Oreochromis niloticus: one gene and its partner. The protein of the gene in region 2 purifies or fractionates together with the protein of the main gene of each other region. This does not show direct contact. Links are inferred from orthologs where the notes say so. Each region holds a gene or a part of one and is shown on either strand. Other genes may lie near its edges.

Region 1 (11,081 bases), on a different chromosome or scaffold from region 2:
AGTCGTGTGAGTCAAAAGTGGGTAATAGCATTTTACAGCTGAGTGCACACATCTCGAAATGAATATCGGGGCCTCCCACTTTCAACAGTAACAGACCAGCTTCTATTTACTTAAATTCTGGGGTAACCAGCGGGGTGTACTGTAAAGTTAATGGTTTAGCTATGTTGAGCTTAAACTCAATTTTTTTGTCACATAAATGGCTTTTCTACCTGGCTAAATCAGCATGGTGTTATGTTTGGAGTTTCCCTTTAAAATGGGTTGGAAGCCAATATTACAGCATGTTTTAAGCACAATATAGATCGTCTGCTGGAAAAATGTTTTGTTTACGCAAATTGTTGTACCTTACTAAAACCACTCAATGAAGCATAAACTATGCATTCCATTGTCATGGGAATGTGCACGTATTAATTTGGAGATTCAGAAAACATGTTTGTTTTTTTTTATATATATATTTATATACCCGAGTCTAATGTGCCAAGTCTCACTTACCCTGCTGAAATTACAGCTACTAAAACACATACCAAGAATACCTGTTTAATCAAAGCAACTTCACTACTTTAATGTTAAAATGTAGCCACTTTGAAGCTCCAGAACTCCAGCTGTCACATTAAAAACAAACAGCACCAAAGAGCACACTTGGCAATTACAATTATTACTTTAAATGAAAATGTTTTACCGCATCTATGCACTGAATTACCAGCAGTGTTTTAGTTTACTGTCATATTTTTCTTTATAGATTTTATTATATTATTCTTTATAGATTTTAAACAACCAATGTATTATTGGCTGATAATGTCTCTGTCACTCAGCGATCATTTTACAGGGAAGAACAATCACGATGCGTAAAACACACCTTTTCCATGTGTGTGCCGACAGAGCCTGAAGCAGAAAGCACAGCCCAACAGATAATACCACCATTGTGTTACCAGAAGCCTGGACGTGTTGATTTTTATTCATAGTACACCCCTCAGGCTGTTCATACTACTGCAGCCAGGACACCTAAGTGCATGTAAATACACATTGTTGTTCAGTGTGTTTACAACCCTGCTAATAGTGGTTTGTGGGAAAGATTCTAATTATGCCGGGGAGCTGGTGTGGGATTTTCCTTTTTTTCTGTCAAAAATATTTATCTAATAAAGTTTTATATAAATGCACAACTGAGGCTTCAAAGGGTCATTAGTAGAGAAGCGGCAAAATGACTAAGTTTTAACTACATTGTCATTTATTGTAGAATTGACCTGTTAAGATCACATGAATATGTGGGTTAACCATTGAAGATTGTGATGCTAATAAATTTACCATACATAGAATTCAAAAAGTAAATAGACAAAACAAGCTTACTTGTATGATAGAATAACTAATTAGTGACTGATGCCAGGGTTATCAGTGAATACAGCATACACAGCTACAATACAATAAAATTACATTGAGCATGAAGCCATCTTTGGTCTTCTCATCACTATAAACAAATACATAGAAATTTGTATTGTATCAAAAATAGAAATTACATAGCCATATTGAAAGAAAATTCACATTTTTGACACACAATATAAAGAGAATAACAAGTGATGTATTGTAGGTTTACATTTTTTTCCCCTTGGCTTTAAGGACCCAATGGTTTTAACATTTTTTGAACATTCGTTTTTTTAAAGAATTGCATCATTCTGTCAAACCATGTAAAAAGTATCCTGCATCTGTGTCAGACAGGATGCAAAAAACAACAACAAAAAAGATCAGATTGTCATTGTTAGGGGGGGGGGGAAAAAACACAAAAACAGCAAAAAAAAAATTTTTAAAAAGAAAAGTGTGTGCTTTTAATCCTGGGCTTTTTGAAATGAGGCCTTTATCACACTAGGAAAAAAATAAAAATAAATAGATTTTTTTTGTTGTTTTTTTAAAAAAGGATGGAGAGAGATTGGGTCGAGACTTGATTCGGTCACGATGCAGCCCCGATGCGCAGACGTCTCCCTCCTCTCGTGAGTGAGTCTTGTCTCGAGTTACCGGTCTTTGTGTAGTGGTCCTCCTGGGCTTCAGAGTTATTCGGCTCTTGGAGGCACACATGATGAACTACAGCCAAAGTGGACCTCTGCTTGAGATTATAGGTAAGTGCTTTCACTGTGTTTTAATCCACTGTGGAAAAAGAAGAAAGCCATGTAAGAATATCAAACAGCAGAGTCACACAGGGATTCTTTGTCCCACAGCTCAGACCTGATATTGAGATGCATCTAATACATACAGGTAACTCCACATTCAAAAATATTCTCCTCACACAGTAACATCAAGAAGATATCTGATATAATTCTAAAAGAGAACAAAGAGGCTAAAAACAGTACAAGGCTCATGTAGATGAATTTTTAAGAAACACAAAGTTGTGCCACAGATGGTGTGCCCCCACAGAGCCCTGCTCTCAGCATCATGGAGTCAGTCTGGGATTACATGAAATCTCCAACGAGACATCAGGTTGTCTAATGCCTAACATACACTAACACTGAAATGTGGTGCCTTCTAACATCTAAAGACAACTTGTCAGAAGTCAAAGTTTTAGTCATGTATTATTCCATCACTTTGGATCCTGTCTGAGCTCTGGCCAAGTCATATGAGCACCTCAGATCTGATGATGAGGGTGTGCCACAACTTCAGCAAAACTATCAAGTCGTCATGAGGAGATTTCAACCATTTCTAACACTGAAATCACTAGTGTAGCAGTTTACACATTTGCTTAGTTCAATTCCAGCCAGAGACACAAATACATTTTCGGGTTGCATGTGGCATAGTGACACCTCGTGACAAGGAAGAGTTGAAAGTAACTCAACAGTGTCACTGAAATCATCAGAGAAATTGGTTGGGCAAAGTTAGCACCTACAAATTATTTTTTTTTCCCCAATTTGGTCAAAAAACAAAAACCTTGTCTGACATCTACAACCAAAGATATTCTAATTTCTTAGAATAGTGTTGAAGAAATATAAGAAATATTAACACACAAATGATGATTTGGGCTGCAGTTACCCTATTTAATAAAAGCACATGTGAAACCATATGCCTGCACTTGTCTGCCATTTTTATTTATTTTTAACTGCTTTTGATAGTTGCTTTAACACTCACTGATAAAGTTCAGCTATAAAACAAGGAGGTCTGCTCCTCTCAGGTTTTTCTCACCATTCACTGCCAAAAGGATGGAGGGTCAAGGGTCGTTCTCCTTCTTTACTGTCACATCTCCTTCTCCAGCTAGGATGGTTGAGATCTCACCCTGCATGAAGGCCCAAGGCACAGTGGATCCGGCCAGGGGGCAGCGCTCTCCGCTGGGGCAGTACACCTCTCCTCCTTGACCTTGGCTGCGGATGAACCCTCGGGTGCAGGGGAAGCAGAACTTGTGGTGCGGGACTGAGGGACACTGGACAAAGTGAGTGTCCTCCAGGCGCTCTCTGCAGAGGGTGCAGCAAAGCAGGGTGCCTGGGGTGCTACTTGTAGACTCCCCAGTGTTTGTGTTGTTACTTTGTCCTCCAGTGCTCAGACCCTGCCCTACAGCTGCCTGGGAGACTGAGGTGGAGGGAGTCGAGGGGCTGCTGCTTGTGGGGCGCCCAGCTGAGGAGGAGTGGGCTGTGGACATGCTGGGGCTCTCTCTGGCCATGTGACTGGAGCTCAGGCCATCTGCCACTCCCATAAGTGCTGAGATGGGTGAAGGCTGGTTGTGTAGACGAGGTGGGCCCTCTTGAGGTACGGCCATGCCAGGAAGAGGTTCCATGCCTGAGTACGTGCCCCGGGGCCAGGGCTCCCTCACAGGGTGTTCGGCCCTTCCCTCACTCTCTCCGTTCTCAGAGCCTGGAGAAGCCTTTCGGCGCCTGGTTGTGCCCTTGGCTGGTCCGGGGCGTCCAGGAGCTGCCAAAGACAGCACTGGGTCTGGCTGTGGCAGAACCTCTGGGATTGGGGGCTCTTTAAACATACGCACACCATCATTCAACAGCTCAGACAGCCCACGCCAGTCTCCGGTCCCTTGCCGTTTCTCATATTCCACGTAGCGCAGCCCAGAGTTTACTGCCTTACCAGCATCTTTGGCAGAGTCACGGAACATCTGCCTGACCAGATCTGGAACTCCTGAGTAGATCATTCCAGAGCCAGAGGGATACTCCGCGAACACCTTCAGCTCAAACTCTGGAGTAGCGCTAGCATCAAAGGCCAGAACACGCCCCATCAGATTATGGTCTTTCCTGAAGCGCACATTGAAGGGGACACAGCTGCTGAGAGCTACCAGCACATCCCGAACTGCTTTGGGACGGTTAGGCCACCCTTCCACTCTACTACGAGCCACCTCATTCAGTTCAGCCATTACTTCACTGTTCCTCCACACTGCCGGATCTATGCCCACTAGAGTAGAAGTGCTAGGTCCCATACCCAGCGACACAGCCTGTCTTCTGCCACTGTCGCTTATTATGGGGCCAGCTGAGACGGCAATAGGAGCGGCCCCAGCTCTCGTGCTTGTTAATGGGGTTAAAATGCCATGAGAAGCTGTTGCTACTAGCCCCTGAGCTATCAAGGCATGGGGTATGGTGTTATGAAGACTAGAAACTACCCCAGGCATAGCCCGACGAGTGTTCGGGCTCTGTCGGCTGCCCTCTGACAAAGCTACATCTTCAGCTCTGTGCAGACCATTGGGGAGGCGAGAAGAAGCCCCATACTCACCCCTCCCCCGGTCTACACGCTCTCCGTGATGCCGCCCCGCTTCAAGGGGCCCAGCAGAGCTGGGTTTGCCCTGCTGTGGACCGGGGGACCTGCCGTCTAAAACTCCGTGAGTGCTCTTCAGCTGCCTGGCAGTTTCAATGAGGAGTTCTATCCGGTCTGCGCCGTCGTAGTTGACACAACCCCGGCATACAGCTTCGCTGAACTCCCACAGCATAGCCCAAGGCATCTTGGGCAGGTCGCAGAGGTAGCACCATTGCCGTCTCGAGGAAGACTGCGAGGCGGAGGACATGTTGTTTACAGGCCCTCGACCAAACTTTCTTCGGAGGCCTACACGTTACGGACTACGTTTTGCACCGATTCTTCAGTCCTCCGACACCATTCGCCACATACCGCGAATTTTACAACAGAAAATAACAAAAAATTAAGTTCAAAATCCGAGTATTGGCGGTAACATTTAAAACTTAACGACGTCTTCTTTCTCGTTTGTTCGTGTCAGCCTGTGTGGAAGGAAGTAAAATGTTATAAGACACCGGAAACACCTACGCGGCCAGGGCTCAGAGCACTATGGGAGACGTAGTTTCTCTTTAAAGCCATTGTTTCTTATTTTCTAGAATTTGAATATTAAACTTCTTTTGAGCAACAAAGTAATCAGACCACATAGAAACAGAACAGTTGTAAACAATGATTAAAGGGGAAAATTCAGAGGGACTACTTTACTGGCGACAAGATACATAAGTAGCGGAGACACTGACGCTAGTCGGACACGTTTTTCCGTGAAACCTCAGTTTAACTAGAGCTGGTTTGTTTTGGGATGGGAGACAGAAAACATGGCTTGTGTTGCGGTTAATCAGAGGAAAGCCAGTGTCGGTGCTGTAATGCTGGAGACATATTATGAGAAATATTATCTCATAACATATATATACTCCACTTCCTGCACAGACGTGAGAGTTTTCAAACTCGGCTTCACTGGGATGATGAGAGATCACATAGCGATATATATATCTATATATATATTATAGGAGAATAACTCTGGAGAATAATCTTATAAGGACAATACAAATATGTTTGCAGCGAACAAACCCCAGGATATATTTTTCTATACCCATTTCTTGAGATGTATAAAAAGTTACAATAGTGAATGTTCATTTTACCTATGCTCAAAGTTCCAAATGATGTCAGTAAATAATCTTTGTGAGCTGAAAGCTCATCGTTTTTTCTGTTGTCAGTGAGCGTGGATATTCCTATTATGGTCTCAGGTACACAGCTCTGAGTAGCAACCTTGCCCACCTGCAGGGCAGTTAGGACAGGCAGTAAGAAGAAAGATGCACCAGGTTCCTTCAACCTAGCTGTCTGAGGGAACATTACAGGAAGTCATTCCTTCCCACCGCTATCAGACTCTTTAATCATCCACTTGGGTCAGGTCCACACACGAAGAACAGGATTAACCAAATTTATACCCATATCTCTTCATTTTATACAAGTGCTTGTATATTTGCTGTTATAACAACTACCCCCCCCTTACAATCCCCAGCCAGCTGAAGCCGATCTTTTCCTGGCAGGTGTTTCTTCCCGTTAAAAGGGATTTCTTCCTTCCCACCATCATCAAGTGTTTGGCTACAAGAAATAGTCTGATTGTTGTAGTTTTCTCTATAATATTGTAGGGTATTTGACTTGGTGCTTTACACTGTAAGTGTAAACTGGAGCAATATGAATAAAACTGATTTCACAGAATGCATTTTATTTTCAAGAATGGATTTGAAGAAATTATACAACACAAACAATCTCTGATTATGTGACACTGGTTAAATTATTAGCAACATTATGGTTACTGTTGGCTTTATTTAATAACCAAAAGACAGAAGGTGGGGGGCGATCAAACATAGTGTTGTGAACATACAAAATAAACAAAAATTTGAAGAACATGGTAAAAGTTAAATAAATTATTTAAAAAAAATTATAATTTAAGTAACATTTTCTAAAGCACGTTAATCCTAGGTATTGTCAACACAGCTTTAATGGTACGTGAAACAGAACTGCAGTATACTCTATCCAAAGACAGAAAACATTACAAATGGTTTCAAGGAAGATTTAGTTGGCATGGTGTGTAGTTGAGAAACACAGCTTCAGTGTATAAGGGTAAGGCCCACCTAGAATATAGAAGCCGGAAGAAAAACTTTAATCATAAAATGTAGAAAATGTCATTAAGCGTTCAAATGTACAACATACCAAGAACCACGTTGGCTTGTTGATCTACATGTTAAATACTTACTAGGGTTTTTCATCTGATAATGGTTCATCATAGCTAGTGCTTCCATGGCATCATTGATGGATTCCCACTCAAGCAGGCCAGATGAACTCCGCTCACCTGTCGTGTCACATGACATTACCATACTGAATAACACTTCTGTGTTAAAAAGCAGTTAGGACACAACAGCACAACCAAATTATGAGATAACTTTAGTGACCAAGTTACAACATATTACTCACTCTTTCCAGTGAAAAGTTTCACACTTGTGGGCCTCTTGATTCCAAGTTCATCACAGACCTGAGCACAGAAACGCGTTTCAGTGAATATGTGAGATGGATGCAGTGTTGCCAACTCGTCAGTAAGGAAAATCGCTATTGGCTGTCCTAAAAGTCGCTAAATGGCGTAATCTCCTAATTTGCATAATTGGTCCTACCGATGTAATTGTAACAGACGCTGTAAGAGAGAGAAATAACATTGTGGAAGAGACAAAGTGAGTTCAAAAAAAAAAAATTAAAAAAAAATACAAACACACACCCTAAAAGCATATAGAATATATTTAGAACTACAAATTAAAATTTCTCTTAGCAACTATTGTTTTCAATAATTCCAACCCTCCTCCTTTATCCGGACTTGGGAACAGCAAAAGTGACCCGAAATAGGCACTCTGGTGGAGTTACTGTTTTGGTGTGTGTGTGTCTTTTTAACTAGTTTTAAACCTTTTGATCCACAAAAAGTAACAGTAAAAGAAGAACATTTTTAACCATTAACAATCAAAATGGACATAGCAAGCCTCACCAGACAGCTTCAGTCGAAATCGGATGTATTTAGTTAAGGCTCTGCAAGGACATCCAATTTCTAAGTTTGCAATGATTGGAATGATGTACAGTTACCACTGCTCCCCCCCCGCGTTACAGTCCAGGGTTGGAGCAGTGGCTTCACTCATGTGCAATTCATTTGCAGCTTGTATGCGTAGGGGTGAATATCTCCTGCTCTGACATCAGCTCGGGGCGACTGCTGCGTGAGGACTACCTGCCGCCTGTGAGCGTTTTCGCATGGGTGAGGTGCCCACAGCAGCACCAGCTGCATGTTGAGAGTAAGAGCGATACGTGCTTTGACGTGAAAAAGTCATCATAAGTCTCCAATAACACCAGAAAAAGTCGCCAGATTTGTTGCTAGTCGCTTTTTAGGAAAAAGTCGCTAAGGGGGTCTGAAAACTCACTAAATATAGCAACAAAGTCACTAAGTTGGCAACACTGGATGGATGCTTTTGGCCATCACAGATAGCAACCTTTGTTGCTTTTTTTTTTTTTTTTTACCTGATTAAAGATCTCAGCAGAGATGTCGGGTTGTGCATTAAAGAAGTGCAAGACATTACTCGGATGCTGAATTCGGTTTTTAGCCGCCTGCTCTGGTGAGGTGAAGCGGTTGTTGCGTGATCCATGGAAATCTTTAAAGCTGCTTGTGTTGTCCTCTAATTGGTAGCACTGTCCTGGCACAATAGCCTGTTGCTTGGACACACTGAAAGAAATAAGGCCAGAGGTCTTGCATCTGTTTTGTTTTTTTAATTTTTTTTAAAGGGAGAAATTTATCTCAAAAAGTCTGTGCTGATGTTTCTAAATTGTTTCAGAGAGTTGTTCTTACCATACATTGAGTTTCTGTCCAAAAAGGAAGTTATTGTTCAAATGAGTAATGGCCCTGTCCACAGAGTAACAGTCTCCCATCTCCACCATTGCTGCTCCAGGTTTACTCTTCATGAACTTGACCTGAAAGAAAAATAGACCAAAACAATATTACCCAGCACTACACACAGTATTTAAATATGCAACTTCTTATGATGACTTTTTTTTTCAATGGGACTTTACCTTTCTAAATAAACAAAAAAGACCTTCAGATTGTCTGAAGGATGGACTTGAAGCAAAAGGATGTTAACTTTATGCCCGTCTTTCTTCCACTTTCAGCATCAACAGTAAGCCACACCATCACATAGTGGGCTCCATTTCTAAGCTTCTAACATCAATAACCAACAGGCTTTTTTGCTATTGTTAGCAATGTTAGCAAACAAAAACAATAAGGTTAGCCAGTTGGCTGCCTTTGGATAACAAGCAATCTGTCCCTCTTAGCAGGTAAGGCGTTACCTACCATTAGAGAAATGAAAGCTTTATCCAAAAAAGATCATCTGGGCAAACTGGAATTTGGCTGTCAGTGGAAAAAAACAAAAAAAAAAAAACACTGGCGGCATTCAGTGCTACCCCTCGGCCTCCTAGCAGATACAGCTAGAAGGATATTTAAGTTTATATATCAGTTTCAAAATTCTGCATCGCCTTGTTCTCAAGTGATCGTATTCAAAAAAGGGTTTTACTTCCTCCGAGTATATACACTTGTTTGTTTACTTATAGTTGCCATAGTTTATTTAATCTAAATAATGTTTAGTAGAGTTTTCACTATGTTTCAAGATTATTACACAACCAAAATGGCCGACAAGTTAGTATCACGTGCTAAGCGGTCACATGTCTGCAAAATATTATAAACGCCCTTCACTTATGGGGTCTAACAGCAAAACAATGACTTGATGCTTCAGTCAGCTTTCACTTACCCTCTCTACATTGCCATACAGGCAAAAGATGTTGAAGACCTTGTCAGCATTGATCTTAGAGGGCTCCAGGCCATACACCATAAGAACTGGAGAGTCAGCGTGAGGACCGTACTCAGGCGGTGGCGGTCCATATCCAGGACCGTAGCGCTGGTTACCCCGACCACGCCCACCCATGCCTGGCCCCATGCGATGGGGAGGAGGGGGGCCGTAGCTGTCATCGTTGTAGCCATGATAACCTCCTTGTGGTCCACCTTAAGATGAAAAAACAAGCAAAACAAAAAACATAATTGTAACTGATTTTGAGCAGTGTTCATTTTTCTACATGTCACACTAATTTGATTATGCGATGTTTACCATAATCAGGTGGGTGATCACCCAGAAGAGCAGGCTGCCTCTGCCGTTTGTTAGGATTGGCATTGGGATCTATAATAGCAAAAAAAACGTTGCCCATCAAACAGCTTCTTTACCACGTGTCTCAAAGGTACCTTGCGTGGGCTACAACATGCTAAGGGACATGTTTGTGCATGGCATGCAACTGAAGGGCCTGAAATCTTTAAAAAGTGTTCAAACATTCTGCAGGTTTTACAGGTGACATAATGGAGATTTTTTTTCCCACAGTGACTTTGAAAGAAGATAGCTTTCAAATTTTAAAGTCTTATATCTGCCATTCTAGTACAAGCACACACACCTTGTGAATTGTTCCAATTGCCTTCACCATCAGCATCTGTGCAGGTACACATGACACACGTCAAATCCAATAAAACAACATGAAAAAAAATAGCAATCTGGCAACACTGTATAAAGACATTTCATCACATGCTCAGTTGCTTGGAATAGAGACATTAAAACAGAAAATCAAAGAGTAAAATACGCAATGTGCTAAGAGCAGCACCTGCTGTTTTATTGAAAACTATTTGAATATCAATATACATTTATTACAAGCCAGGACACAGATATAACATGAGGAGTGAAAAAACATCAAGCACTGAAACTAATAACATGGTGAAAAATTAAAACCAGAGAGGTCAGCTGATTTAACGTCAACAAAAAGTAAGAACAGATTTATTTTTGTTCAAAGAAGGCTTTCCTTCAGCTCACTTCACCAAAACTCAGTAAATATTCTTCTTAAACCAGTAGCTGTTTAGCAGGCACCTCTTCCTTAAGGTTAGGGTAGAAGTTGTTTACTCCCTATGCAATTACTAAACCATCAAGTTCTCAGTAATAATTTTGTCACTATGTGCACATCATCCGTGGTAAACAATCATTTCCACCACCTGTTTGTTTATTTACAGGCTGCAAATGGAGGTCTTCATATGGAGGCTTCATATAGGTTGTTCAGCTTGTTTAAAACCAAAGTAGTGCCAAAATGGGGAAATTTTGAGTGATTTTTTGAAAAGACTACATATGTAAAATGCTTTCAATGGTGCATTTAAACCTAAACATCAGAACATCTGGCATGGCACTCAAGCACACCAATAATCCTAGTGTCAAGGACAGTTTCACAGTCACAGTGTTGGCCATGTTGGACAGCTACATTGGCCTGACAGAAATATTTATTCTTAG
Region 2 (11,224 bases):
CTGAGGAGGAGAGCATCTTATAAACTCTGAAGGCATTCGTTCCCTTTTTGATGCTTTTATCCTTTACCTCCTCGATATCTGGCAGGCTGTTCATGGCACAGCGAAAATTAGCCTTCCATGTCTTTGGATCAGGACGGTCTACACCTGGCTGGTATTTACCTGATTCAGATGCAAGAAGAAGGAAAAAAATCACTAATTTGTCTTTTTGTGGTGGATTTCAGAGAAGCGCTTCATCACTATGGAGGCAATTATTTATGAGCTAACCAGTGTTACCAGTATGCATACAGATTCTTGTTGACTCTACATTATTGGTTAGTTACTTGGTTAGTTTTTGCTGTTTAATTTTACAGCAGCTTGTATTATCTGACATGTTCACTTCAAATCAAATGAAAGTTAAAAAAAAGGAACATATATTTCTTTGTATTGTTACATAAACTTATTTAATATGATACAATTAGACCATTTATTGGTCAAATTAAGTATTGCAATCAAGTACAGGCACCACCAACAAGACTGCAGCTGCTTTTAGCTCAATCTGTAATAAAGTAGCATTTCTCTCTATGGAAAAGTTTGCCTGATATATTTAAACAATGTAACAATTTCCCCAATATTATCCACCAAGGAGGTCATGTGACTGGTTTGCTTTGTTTGTTAGCAGGATTACTCCGAGGTGAGGGTTTACGCAGCTTAGCAGTGATTAATGCTTGATCTGGATCTGGGAATTTTAAAGGGGTCGTTTACCACCGAGGGGCAAAAGCTGGACATTTTACATCATATGTTCTCACAAACCAACCAAACTGAAATGTAAAAAGGGACTGGGAGACATCATCTTACAGTCTTCAAGGAGAAAATGAATCACACCCTCAGACTGAACGTGTGAACATCCTTCTAGCAAAGATTGCACAGATTATATTTTCTCATTTACTGCTGTAGCAAAGCAGTGGGAATTACCCTTACACAGACACTATGTGCTTCCTAACAAAGTTACCTGAGAGCAGATACTCAACCTGTTCAGCACAGAGCCAGCACACATGGTGTTTGCATCAGGTAAAAAATATGGAGTCAAACAAATGCAAAAGGACTTCATTACTTTAGGGACGGTAAACAAACAAGAATTTCCTGATGCTACTGTTCTCTGTTTAAGTGAAGCTCAACTTGGATCCTTTTTTAATGTTACTGACTCAGGTTAGTAACGAAGAGGAACACTACTCCCAGTGATATGAAAAGGAGGCATTTTATAAATCAAAACTCTCTGAACTTAATCACAGAAGTGTTTCAGTGTGTAGCAGGCATGAAAATGAGAACCGCTAAAAAGGAGAAGCAGCAGCGGAGGCTGCAGTTAAATCTGTGCAATACCCGTGTGTATGGCCCATCTCATGAAGAGCGGAGCATCTTTCTCCAGGTCCCAGCCATGACGGGCAGCGTGCATCCAAGGAATCTGGAAGATCCTCTTCTCCTGCAAACAATTTACATTGTTTACATCATCTTAAAGTTACAGTGTGTGTGTGTGTGTGTGTGTGTGTGTGTGTGTAACAACACTCACTTTGTTAAGCCATTTCAGTCCTGGAATCTGACAGGATTCGATTTGTTCCTGTAACCAGGGTCTCATCCTCATTCGTTCTACTGGCATTGCGGTCTGTGAAGTCACACACACAGATACGTACAGTTATTATGAATGTGTGAGCACTGGTACGGATACTGGGATTCAAAGATGGTTTTGTTTGTTTTTTTGTAAACATTATAGCAAATTGTAGCAACTTTAAAAAAAAATAGAAATGCTGTAATACGTGATCTGCTGTGGTGCTCACTGTGCCAACAAGAGCCAAAACATCTTGTTTCACACAGGATGAACTGAGCGGCTGCACCAAGCCAACGACAAACAAGAACGATTCTGAACCATGAATCATCCAGAGCTACTCAAGTAGAGCTGGAAATGAGCATAGCAGGCCCCCCACTGATGTTTTTTCCCCATTCATAGTCATCATTTCAGAGTAAGGTGTGGAACACAGTTGAATCAGATCTGTGTGTGCTTGTAAAGATAAGACTCTTGGCCAGGCTCTTTAATGTGTGCGCAAAGAACAGCAGCCATAAAACACGGTTCATAAATAAAAATGTCAGCTCATGTTTGTAGCTCTACACTCAGCCTCGCGCTGTTTGTTCCAGAGAACGACACCTTAAATAAAACAACAATGGAACAAGAGGACAACAGGAAAAAACAAACAGAGCTCATAACCGTCCCAGAAAACTTTAGCCCACCCATGCCGCTACATTTGATTTAAGGGCAGGGTGATGATCTCTGCACACAAACGTGATCAAAGTCCAGTCAGGCTGACACTCCCTGCCAGCGCAGTGCTTCCCCAACAGGTTAAACAAGGTGAAACAGCGCAGCATCAAATCCAAAATATCAAACAAGGCTGAGCCTTTCAGCTGCGTCTGTTCAGTGAAAGCTCACAATATCACTACAGAAAACACAAGCTGAAAAAGACACAAGGAGTGCAGTACAAATGGCACACATGGCCAAAACACAGGGCCCACGTCCCACTTCAACCCAGCCCCTGGTGCTCGAAAAGGAAAACTAAACAACCCCCGCAAATATCAATAAGAGGCAGCTTTGTGTCACCAAATCTCAACACAAATGACTTCAGCAAACACAAACTGATATTTCACCTTTAAAGTCCGATCAGCACAAAGCTCTCGGTGGTTTGCACACCTGAAGCATCTTTGACTTGCTCACTGTTTACAACCCAGTCAGACTGCCATCAGGTGCAGGGCAAACGCTCCTACAAGCAGATCCAAGTATGCTGCGGGTGCTTTCAGGTACTGCTGACCTGAGATCAGTTACACCTATGCAAGCATTCAAAAACAGACTCAAAACCTTTTTGTTCGTGCAAGCTTACACTTGTTTACTTCAAGGCACTGTAATCCTACAGTTTTTTTTTAATGTTTTTTATCTCATATATGAAGCACATTAAGTTTACATATGATGAAATGTGCCACTGCTGTTTAACTCAGTTGCAACAGGGGGCGCTGCACTGATCACTGTGCAAACAAACTGTGCTGTGCGCTTCAAAAGCAGACTTTTGGTGATCTTGCAAAGAGAGACGACAGTCTCAGGTGTTCCCAACAGACTACATGACACACGGCATCAGTTAGAAATCATTCACACAGGTTACTTACAGTCACACGAGTGACTCAAGACAGGAAAATGATTTATTTATTCACAGATAAGACTGCTCATTATTTCATAAATAGTAAAAACGACACAGGCATCTCTTCATCCTCATTTATCACCCAAGTTCTGACCGCAGCTTGCCTCACACGTTAAAAGCAGCACGCTCACATTCACAAATATGAGCATCTCTTTGTTCTTAAATTACATCTGTGGATATTAATATTTTGGTCATTCACAGACATGCAGTTTAACTACAAATATACCTGTAAAAACTTACAGTTTTATGTCAGAGTATCTGACACTGACAGAAGACATTTTCTAACAGAAAGACAATTGAAGAAAAAAAAAAGACCCAGATCTATTTTAACACATTCGCCAAGTTCACTTAACTCAGCACTATTTAATGTTTCCGCTCAGTTTTTCAGTGAGACAGACTACATCTAAGTCCTCTGAGAGAACAGCACATGGTGTGAATACATTTCAACAAGCAGATGTTTAATTGGTGGAAGAGGGAATCATCACAGCGGGACTTTAGGGTTAAATGAATGCGGTTAAACCGTTGACGCAAACTATACTGATTTCTGACCAACATGTCATCACAGTGCGTGGCAATATGTGTGCTTTCTTCTGTTCTTTTTACTAATTGCACAATGAGGAACATTTGCTGCTGATATGGCGGAAAAATTGGATCAAGAAGAATTTAAATATGTATTTACACTGTGTACATAACGGTGTCTACACTCAAATATAGTCCAACTGTACATTTAAGAATATAACATTCAATATTATAACATCAGTAGTACTTTTTAAATTATTAATAGTATTACTATTATTATTTCTTCAGTGTATAGCACATTTATTTTTATACTGCTAAACATGGTAAGTTACCCGTCACGGAGTTCAGACAATATAACACTTGTAGTGTTTTCAGTGTAAATGACACGCACTAAGACCTGAATACTGTTCACGGCTCAGTCCCGCTGCTACTCAGATTATAACACGGTAAATACACACAGTTACAAACAGATAAACACTGTACACTTCAAAGAGTCTACGTTATAGCGGGAGGATGCTAGCAAATATTAACTAATTCCAGGTAAACAGCCACATCACCGCTGACTTTCCAATGTTAGTAACATGTTTGTTCTGGAGTCGAGTCTGCTTTAGCAGCGGGGGCAAGTCAGAAGTTTATCGCGCTCTGTGTGTCTACCGCCTGCCACCGAGCTGACCCAAAACAACGAAGTCAAAAGTGAAAATAAATCCCATACCGAGTCATGAAACGCGGAGACAAACTGCAGAACTACTTTCACTTGAGCTAGGGATCCGTCATGTCGCCCTGTAGGAAGTCAGTGTGGCCAGGGGAGCGCAAGGCAGCGACGTTAATATGCGGAAATAAGATGTTACCTGTTAGGTTTGGACGGCCTCGGGCTCCACAGTCCCGCTGTCGGAATAAGAAGAGCAGCCAAAGCCGGACAGGTTAACGTGTTCGAGGTTTTAAGTGGAAAAGGGAAAGTGTGGTCGTCGTTTATTTCTGTTTCTGCATTCAGACCGAAAGCAAAACAACGGCCGCTTCGGGAAGTGGGGGCCAGAGCTGGAAATCCCCCTCCTGCTCTCGTGCTCTCGCTTTGGGTCGGTCTCGAGCGTCGTGAAGTCTCGCGTGCGCTCGCACACGTCGAAGCGAAGATGGCTCACTCCGTTGTGTTTTTTTTTTATTATTATTATTATCTTTTTGGGGGGGCGGGTTATCTGTTTGTTTTTTTGGCGGCAACCATGACATTTAAGATTAGCCTAATGCTCGTAGCTTAGCTTTACTTTCTGGGATAATTATCCGTCAGATTGCACAGGAGTCACGTGCTCTGATACAGAACAGCGTAGGATAGAATCACCTAAAAATAAAATTGGTCTAAATTCTAGTATTTACCATTCACCTTGCCACGCCATTGCAAAACACCAACATTAAACGTCTGCACGTCTGGGATATATATACATAGCTCAGTGACTAGTACCTGAATACATCAATGTCCTAGCCAACTGTAGCAAATACGTGTTTAAATGTATAAGCAGGTTGACACACGGCGGAAATGACCGCCCCCCCGGAACGTTTATTCTTAGGACATAGACGATCTTTGAGCTGAATTTCATTTTCACTTCCTCTGTGTCTCTCTCCCCCCCGTCGCCCCCACATCTCCTCTTTTTTCTCCGCCGCTGCAACTGGAAACGAAACTAGAAACTTCTCACAACCGTGTGTGTGTTTAAGGGGTTGGCAGCAGCACACCTGCCGTTGTGTGGAAAGGACACCTTTGTAATGTCTCTCCTCTAAGTGTGTAGCTGTGGCGGTGGGGTCCCAGAGTCAAGCTGCAGTTTAGAGTAGTGCACGCAGTGATTCCGTTCATTCTTTAAAAAGGAGAATCGAAACTGAGCTGTGCAGTTTCACATGAAAATGTCTGCAAGCTAGCAGCAGATCGACAGATTCCCAACACAGCAGCATGCATGTATGCATGACATGTGTCTGTTTTTAATGGAAACTCTGAAGATAAGGCTTCCACTGGCACACTCACACGTACTGAAATTCCCCATTCATTAATGATTGTTACATTTGGTGTCATTTGTGCTGCCGGTGACTCACTCAGCACACTGTTTCTGTTTACAGCAAAGAGAAAACAGCTTTGTCAAAATCTGGGAATGGAAAACGCGATGTCTGAGAAGCTCCAACCTCCACAATTGATCCTCAACAAATGGAAAGTGTGTGCCAGCTCTCCACAGGGTCAGGGTTATCTCTGTGACACACACAGCTGAGCCCGGGAGGGGTCTGACAAACCTATCCAAGGAGTTTGTATTTCACAGCAGTGGGCCCCAGACAGAAGCTGCCTTATACACAGAATACAGATGGTTAAAAAGAAAAACGGAAGAATTAGAAAAAGAAGAAGAAGAAGCTGACAACTGTCTAAACAGAAAGTCTTATTTCTTTTCTCGTTTTCAAATTAGCACTTCCACATGGTCGATGCATCAAGGGTTAAACCGGGCCACAGTTTCAGTTCCTGGAACCTCTGCAAAACTGCTGAGTCATTAAAGGCCTCTGAGAATCACATTAGTTGTTTCTCTGGCCTCCTCTAGTGGCTGCATGTTCACACAGTTGGTTCAAAATACAAAACATCTGGCCTGTCACATGGTCAGCTCCGTGAGTGTGTGGACTCCTGCTTCTGCACTCCACCAGAGCGGACTTTAAATCAAACAAAGAAGATGTGACTGAAGTGCGGACCTTCAGCTTCAATTCAAGGATTTTAACACATGTATTGAATTAAATGTTTTACACATAACCTCCCATTTTCAAAAGCTCAGAAAGAACTGATGATTCAAAGTGTTGAACCTGAGTTTGGTAGATGTTCACTAGAACTCTCAATATGAGGTCCAAAAACATGCCCTTGTTAGGCCAACAAAACATAAAAATACGACAGATGGCGAAAACATGTGGAGCGCCCAAAACTGTCGCAACACTGTTAATGGTTTTTTTCACTTTAATACAAACATACATAAACACACAAAATATAAAAGGTAAACTGATCCAACACTAAAATCAATAAAAGTATCACTAATCTAAGTGCAGATTGTGCAAATGGGTTTAGTCACATTTAAATCACTGTCATCCTGCTTTGCATCAGCTGCAGCACAGCATCAGACTTTGCATTTGGTCAAGGAGAACAAAGATCACTGAGGTTCAACCATGTAAATCTAGACGGGGAAGTAAAAGTCTTTGGTCAACATACAGACGATACAGGGGATCTGCTTATTGCGAGCAAATCCAGGCAGGTTGCTGGAGGACTCGAAGTAGCGTGAAACACCGTAGTTGACTCGCGTCATGATCTGCATCAGATCCAGCTTCCCACTGTAGCACTCCAACATCTCACACAACGTCAGTATGAACCAGGAGCCGTAGGTTGTGTTTCTCCATGAGTAGTATCCTGCAGGAGGGTGACAGTGTTAGTGCTCTTAGAAAACAACAACGAGGAGGCGATCGTTCACTATAATACACAATCCTGACACTAATAAAGTAGCTGGACTGGTGACTGTGACAAAACAATGATCTATGGGAGGGCATCTGTTTAGTTCAGTTGTGTGTTTATTATTACTACGATGGTACTCTATTTAATTTAATATCATTTTATGCAGTAAAATATCAATAGAACTGATACTGGGGCTGGTATTGGATCGATACTAGCCCGATACGCTCAATGCTTTAGTTTGTCTGTCCCCTGTAAGTTGCTCTCATTCATCAGAAAGGAGACGTGTGTGGAAGCAATGCTCCTCTCATGCAGGCACGCTTTGCTCCGCCCCCTCCTCCCTGCTCTGCTGCATTCCGATCTCCTGTGGTCATGTGACTCAGCAGCATCAAGCAGAGCCATGTAGGTTGCAGTGAGTGAGAAAGCAATGCATTGTTTAGAGTCATTGTGGTGGAGGTGTGGCCTCTGGCCTGCTGCAGAGGAGGGGCGACACAGTGAGCTCACAGGGAGGCGTGGTTGAAACACAGGTGTGCTGGGTCAGGTTAGATGACATCTTCTTGGCTTTTTCAGTGACAGCAGAGCAGAAAAACGTGGAGTGACTGTTTCCAGCGTGCAGAGCACCAAAACAACAGAATCTACTGCCATAGACAATAAACTGAGCAAACTGACAACGCTGTGTGTGTGTGTGTATGTGGTCCTTGCCACAGTCATCTCAGCTGTTACTTTAGCAGACTGATCACCTAAAGGCCGTATTAAGACATTTAATTATACATCCAGCCCACTTAAAATCAGTTAGATAAATGGTTGTACTGGAGCAGAAAAAAATATACCTCAAAAATGAACCATGAAAGACGTCTGAATATAATGAAGTGTTGTATTTTATTCATACAACAAATTAAAAACAGATATTCCAGAGTCAAAATCCATGAAAAGATAAACTAGTTATTGTAAAAAATCACAGAGGTTTAGTGGTCATTAAAGTGTGTCCAGAATTTTTGAAGTGATGATGATTTATGCCATAGATCACAACACTCTGCTTTCCTACATCAGTTGCCTTTTCAAGTTAAAAGTCTCTATATTTGGCACGTAGGTCGGTTTCTGAACTCACGGTTTTCAGAGTTGTGTTTAATTTTTTGGTTTTTATTTCCATTCTTCCTTCAGGCCGTCTGGTTCTTGGTATTGTTTCTGTAAGTCTGGTTTCATTGGGTTTTTTTCCATTAGTATCCTGTTCCTCTTTTCTTCTCAGTTAGAGTTTGTTCTTTTATTGTTATTCATCCCGTAAAGTTCTTGTATCTAAGTGTCTCCCTGTTTCCGTGGCTATCTTTCATTTCCTGTTTTATTTTGGTAGTCATTGTCTCCTGTGTTTTGCATTTAGTTTGACATCTCCTGCGTCATTATCCTAATAGTTTCCCCCTTTTTTTTCTCCGACATGTTTGAGGCATATATTTTAATGTCCCATTTCTGTATGTGGGCACCATACTGAGCTTAAAGCATTGATCTTATCGCAGTAAGCGTGTAAATCCCTGTCTCTCCTGTGTTCTTTATCAAAGTGTCTATTTTTTACCTGCCATTTCTTGTCTTTTAATTTTTTGGAGATTAAGTATTATTTGCACTTTTTTTGGTCTTTTTTATGGACTTTGCCATCAGTTCAAATAAAGCTCAGCTTTTCCCACTGGCCTCCATGTGAGTCCACCGTTTAGCCAAAATGTGATGTAGTCTATTAAGATAACAGAAAACACTGTCTGTACCTGGAGCGGTGGAATAGGCGTATAAGAAGTCGGCCTCCACAGGAATCTTCTCAGACGTCTGCTCGTCTCCTCCACTGTCGGTCTCAATGACTCCATCATCCAGGTTTGTACCACGGCATGCCTGAAAAGGAAGGAGAAGCAGATATTATCAAAGTCCTTCTTCAAGCTCCAGTTGGCAGAAATCTTGAAACATCTGTATAAACATCTGTATAAACATCTGTATAAACATCTGTATAAAGTCACCAGTCAAATCTGCTAAAAACTGCTTGTATGTACTTTTTCATAAGCTCCATCCATTCATTCATTTTTGGTCACTTATCCATCTCTGCTTCGCAGGTACACTAATCCAAGTAGAGATAGCCAGACCTCCCCCACCCAGCCGCCTGCTCCAGGTGAGGTGGCTGGGAATAAGCTAAGCGTGACTACCCTAATGTTTCTGGTGGATGGAGGATGTAATGTACAGCTAGACATCCAGTTTTTTGCATGTATTTTTAATCTTAGCACCAAAAGCATTCATGTTGTCACAGTCAAGCAGGTGTGTACATCCTTGTGTTTAAAAGCTGTTATAACTTTCCGGAATGGACTAAACCAAAAACAGAATTTCAGGAAAAAACTTGTGTCTGTCATCCTCCTGAATACTGAGGAAAACTAGCATCTTTCAGTTGAACTCATTTTGTCCACTACAGAGGACATAATGAATCGGCTGGGTCTCAGGAGGGTATGTTGAAGTAGAGCTGGGTGTAATACCAATGCGTACCATAAGATGGTGCAGTGACACAGTGTAACATTGTTAAGAGGAATTTGTAATTCAGAAAGGAAGCCTCGAAAAGGCAACGCCTCCTGAGGAAATGGGGATAACTGCTCTCTAATATTTGGTATTAGCTACACCCGTTTTAAGGTGGCATTAACTGTAGAAAGGGAACATAGTCTGGGAACATGTAGTAATTAACTTTTTCTCATTGAAAGTGAGTTTAGACTTCTTATCAAAGTTCCAAAGCAAATTACGATCAAAGGAAATATTTTACAATTTGATCAAATACAAATGAAAACATGACTGTATTCACAGAAGTGTATCAAATTGGCATTATTAACTAACCTGAATGAAGAAGAGCTTTGGCTTCCCCACCAGACCCGCACAGCAGTCTCCTCTGAAGTACTTCGCCAGGGTATCGAACCTTTCAGGGCCATCGGTGCCGTATATCACGCCCTCATCTCCATGACTAAGCAGCACACACACGAATGATGCATTGTTCTTGTGGTCCTCCTTGGATGCTGCAAACACAGCAGAATAGATGGGAAACAATATGAGTTATTAGTCCAGTTGTTTTAAAGAGTGCTACTAAAATAGGTTTAGGTTTTTAGGTACTTCATATTTTTGCAGTACATGTACGCTGTTTGAGCTCCTGCCTATTAAAGCTCACACTCCCAAACAGTCCAGTCTGCTTTGTTAGCTAGCATAGCCCTCTAACAAATGCTAGCAGCTAACACGAAGCTTTGGGAGAGCTGTCGGTGGCTTAGTAGCACATGTTATGCCGACTACTTTATTTGTTAATTAAAAGTGCTCACTTTACAGCCATGTGTCATTTCTAACATTTTACATATCAAGTTAAAATGATTTAAGATAAGATAAGAAACTTGGACAGGGTGATAAGATCCAGGCTGGAAATCTGATCTGTTAAAACTGTTCTTGCAAACAAAAACAAAAACATCATGGAATGGGAGGAAAACTAAACACAGCAGGTTAAAGTCAGTTATGGCGTTTAACAGGAAGCTGGTTGAGCAGCACAGACTTGGGATTGATTTATTCCTGAGGATGGGCCACATGTCTCTGGGTGGTGTAGCAGCTGACTGAGCCGAGGGGCAGCTGAGTGTAATGAACTCAGGTGTGTTGCTTGGGCAGTGGCAGCACACAAACGGCCTCTGATTAACTCATAATTGGTTCTGAGATCTTGCATCATGGTGTTGTGGTTAACACTTTCCTTGTACACATAAAACATCCCTGATTCAAGAGGAGACACACACACAGGGTTGTGTACTCCCTGTGCTGGTCCCAGTATATGTGAGGGTCGTGTCAGGAAGGCCATCCAGCATAAAGCTGTGCTCAGCCATCATGTGGATCCATCCTCTGGACTGATCCCCTTAGAAATAAAGAGCAGCTGAAAGTACATCTCTCTGTTCCTGAGGATTAGCTTCAGTTTGTGTTCTTGCACAAATAAAACCTAGTTAGTCTGAGACTCGTTGGAAACTGTAGTCTCAGTGACACAGATGGAAGGTTGCAGAAGCAGATGTGTAGTTTCACCGAAAGT

The links.
Region 1: the proteins of irf2b (region 2) and interferon regulatory factor 2-binding protein 1 purify together in Homo sapiens (affinity purification with mass spectrometry; 4 studies listed by BioGRID and IntAct, counting the BioPlex papers as one, with this or other methods). This does not show direct contact. The link is inferred for Oreochromis niloticus from reciprocal best matches to the Homo sapiens genes IRF2 and IRF2BP1.

Annotation. Positions count from the first base shown.
Region 1 is NC_031975.2:3,515,110-3,526,190, forward strand, and holds interferon regulatory factor 2-binding protein 1, read right to left. Parts: upstream 5,239-11,081; 5' UTR 4,967-5,238; coding exon 3,182-4,966; 3' UTR 3,157-3,181; intron 2,131-3,156; 3' UTR 1,201-2,130; downstream 1-1,200. Other genes in the region: hnrnpl (heterogeneous nuclear ribonucleoprotein L), read right to left, coding at 6,766-6,824, 6,947-7,042, 7,165-7,222, 8,242-8,443, 8,567-8,688, 9,519-9,769, 9,873-9,941, 10,207-10,242. UniProt on the Homo sapiens protein: Acts as a transcriptional corepressor in a IRF2-dependent manner; this repression is not mediated by histone deacetylase activities. May act as an E3 ligase towards JDP2, enhancing its polyubiquitination. Represses ATF2-dependent transcriptional activation.
Region 2 is NC_031966.2:34,355,573-34,366,796, reverse strand, and holds the start of irf2b (interferon regulatory factor 2), read right to left. Parts: upstream 4,782-11,224; 5' UTR 4,577-4,781; intron 4,553-4,576; exon of another isoform or gene 4,441-4,552; intron 1,637-4,440; 5' UTR 1,631-1,636; coding exon 1,544-1,630; intron 1,457-1,543; coding exon 1,357-1,456; intron 160-1,356; coding exon 1-159. Other genes in the region: caspase-3, read right to left, coding at 6,902-7,131, 8,919-9,039, 10,015-10,190. UniProt on the Homo sapiens protein: Specifically binds to the upstream regulatory region of type I IFN and IFN-inducible MHC class I genes (the interferon consensus sequence (ICS)) and represses those genes. Also acts as an activator for several genes including H4 and IL7.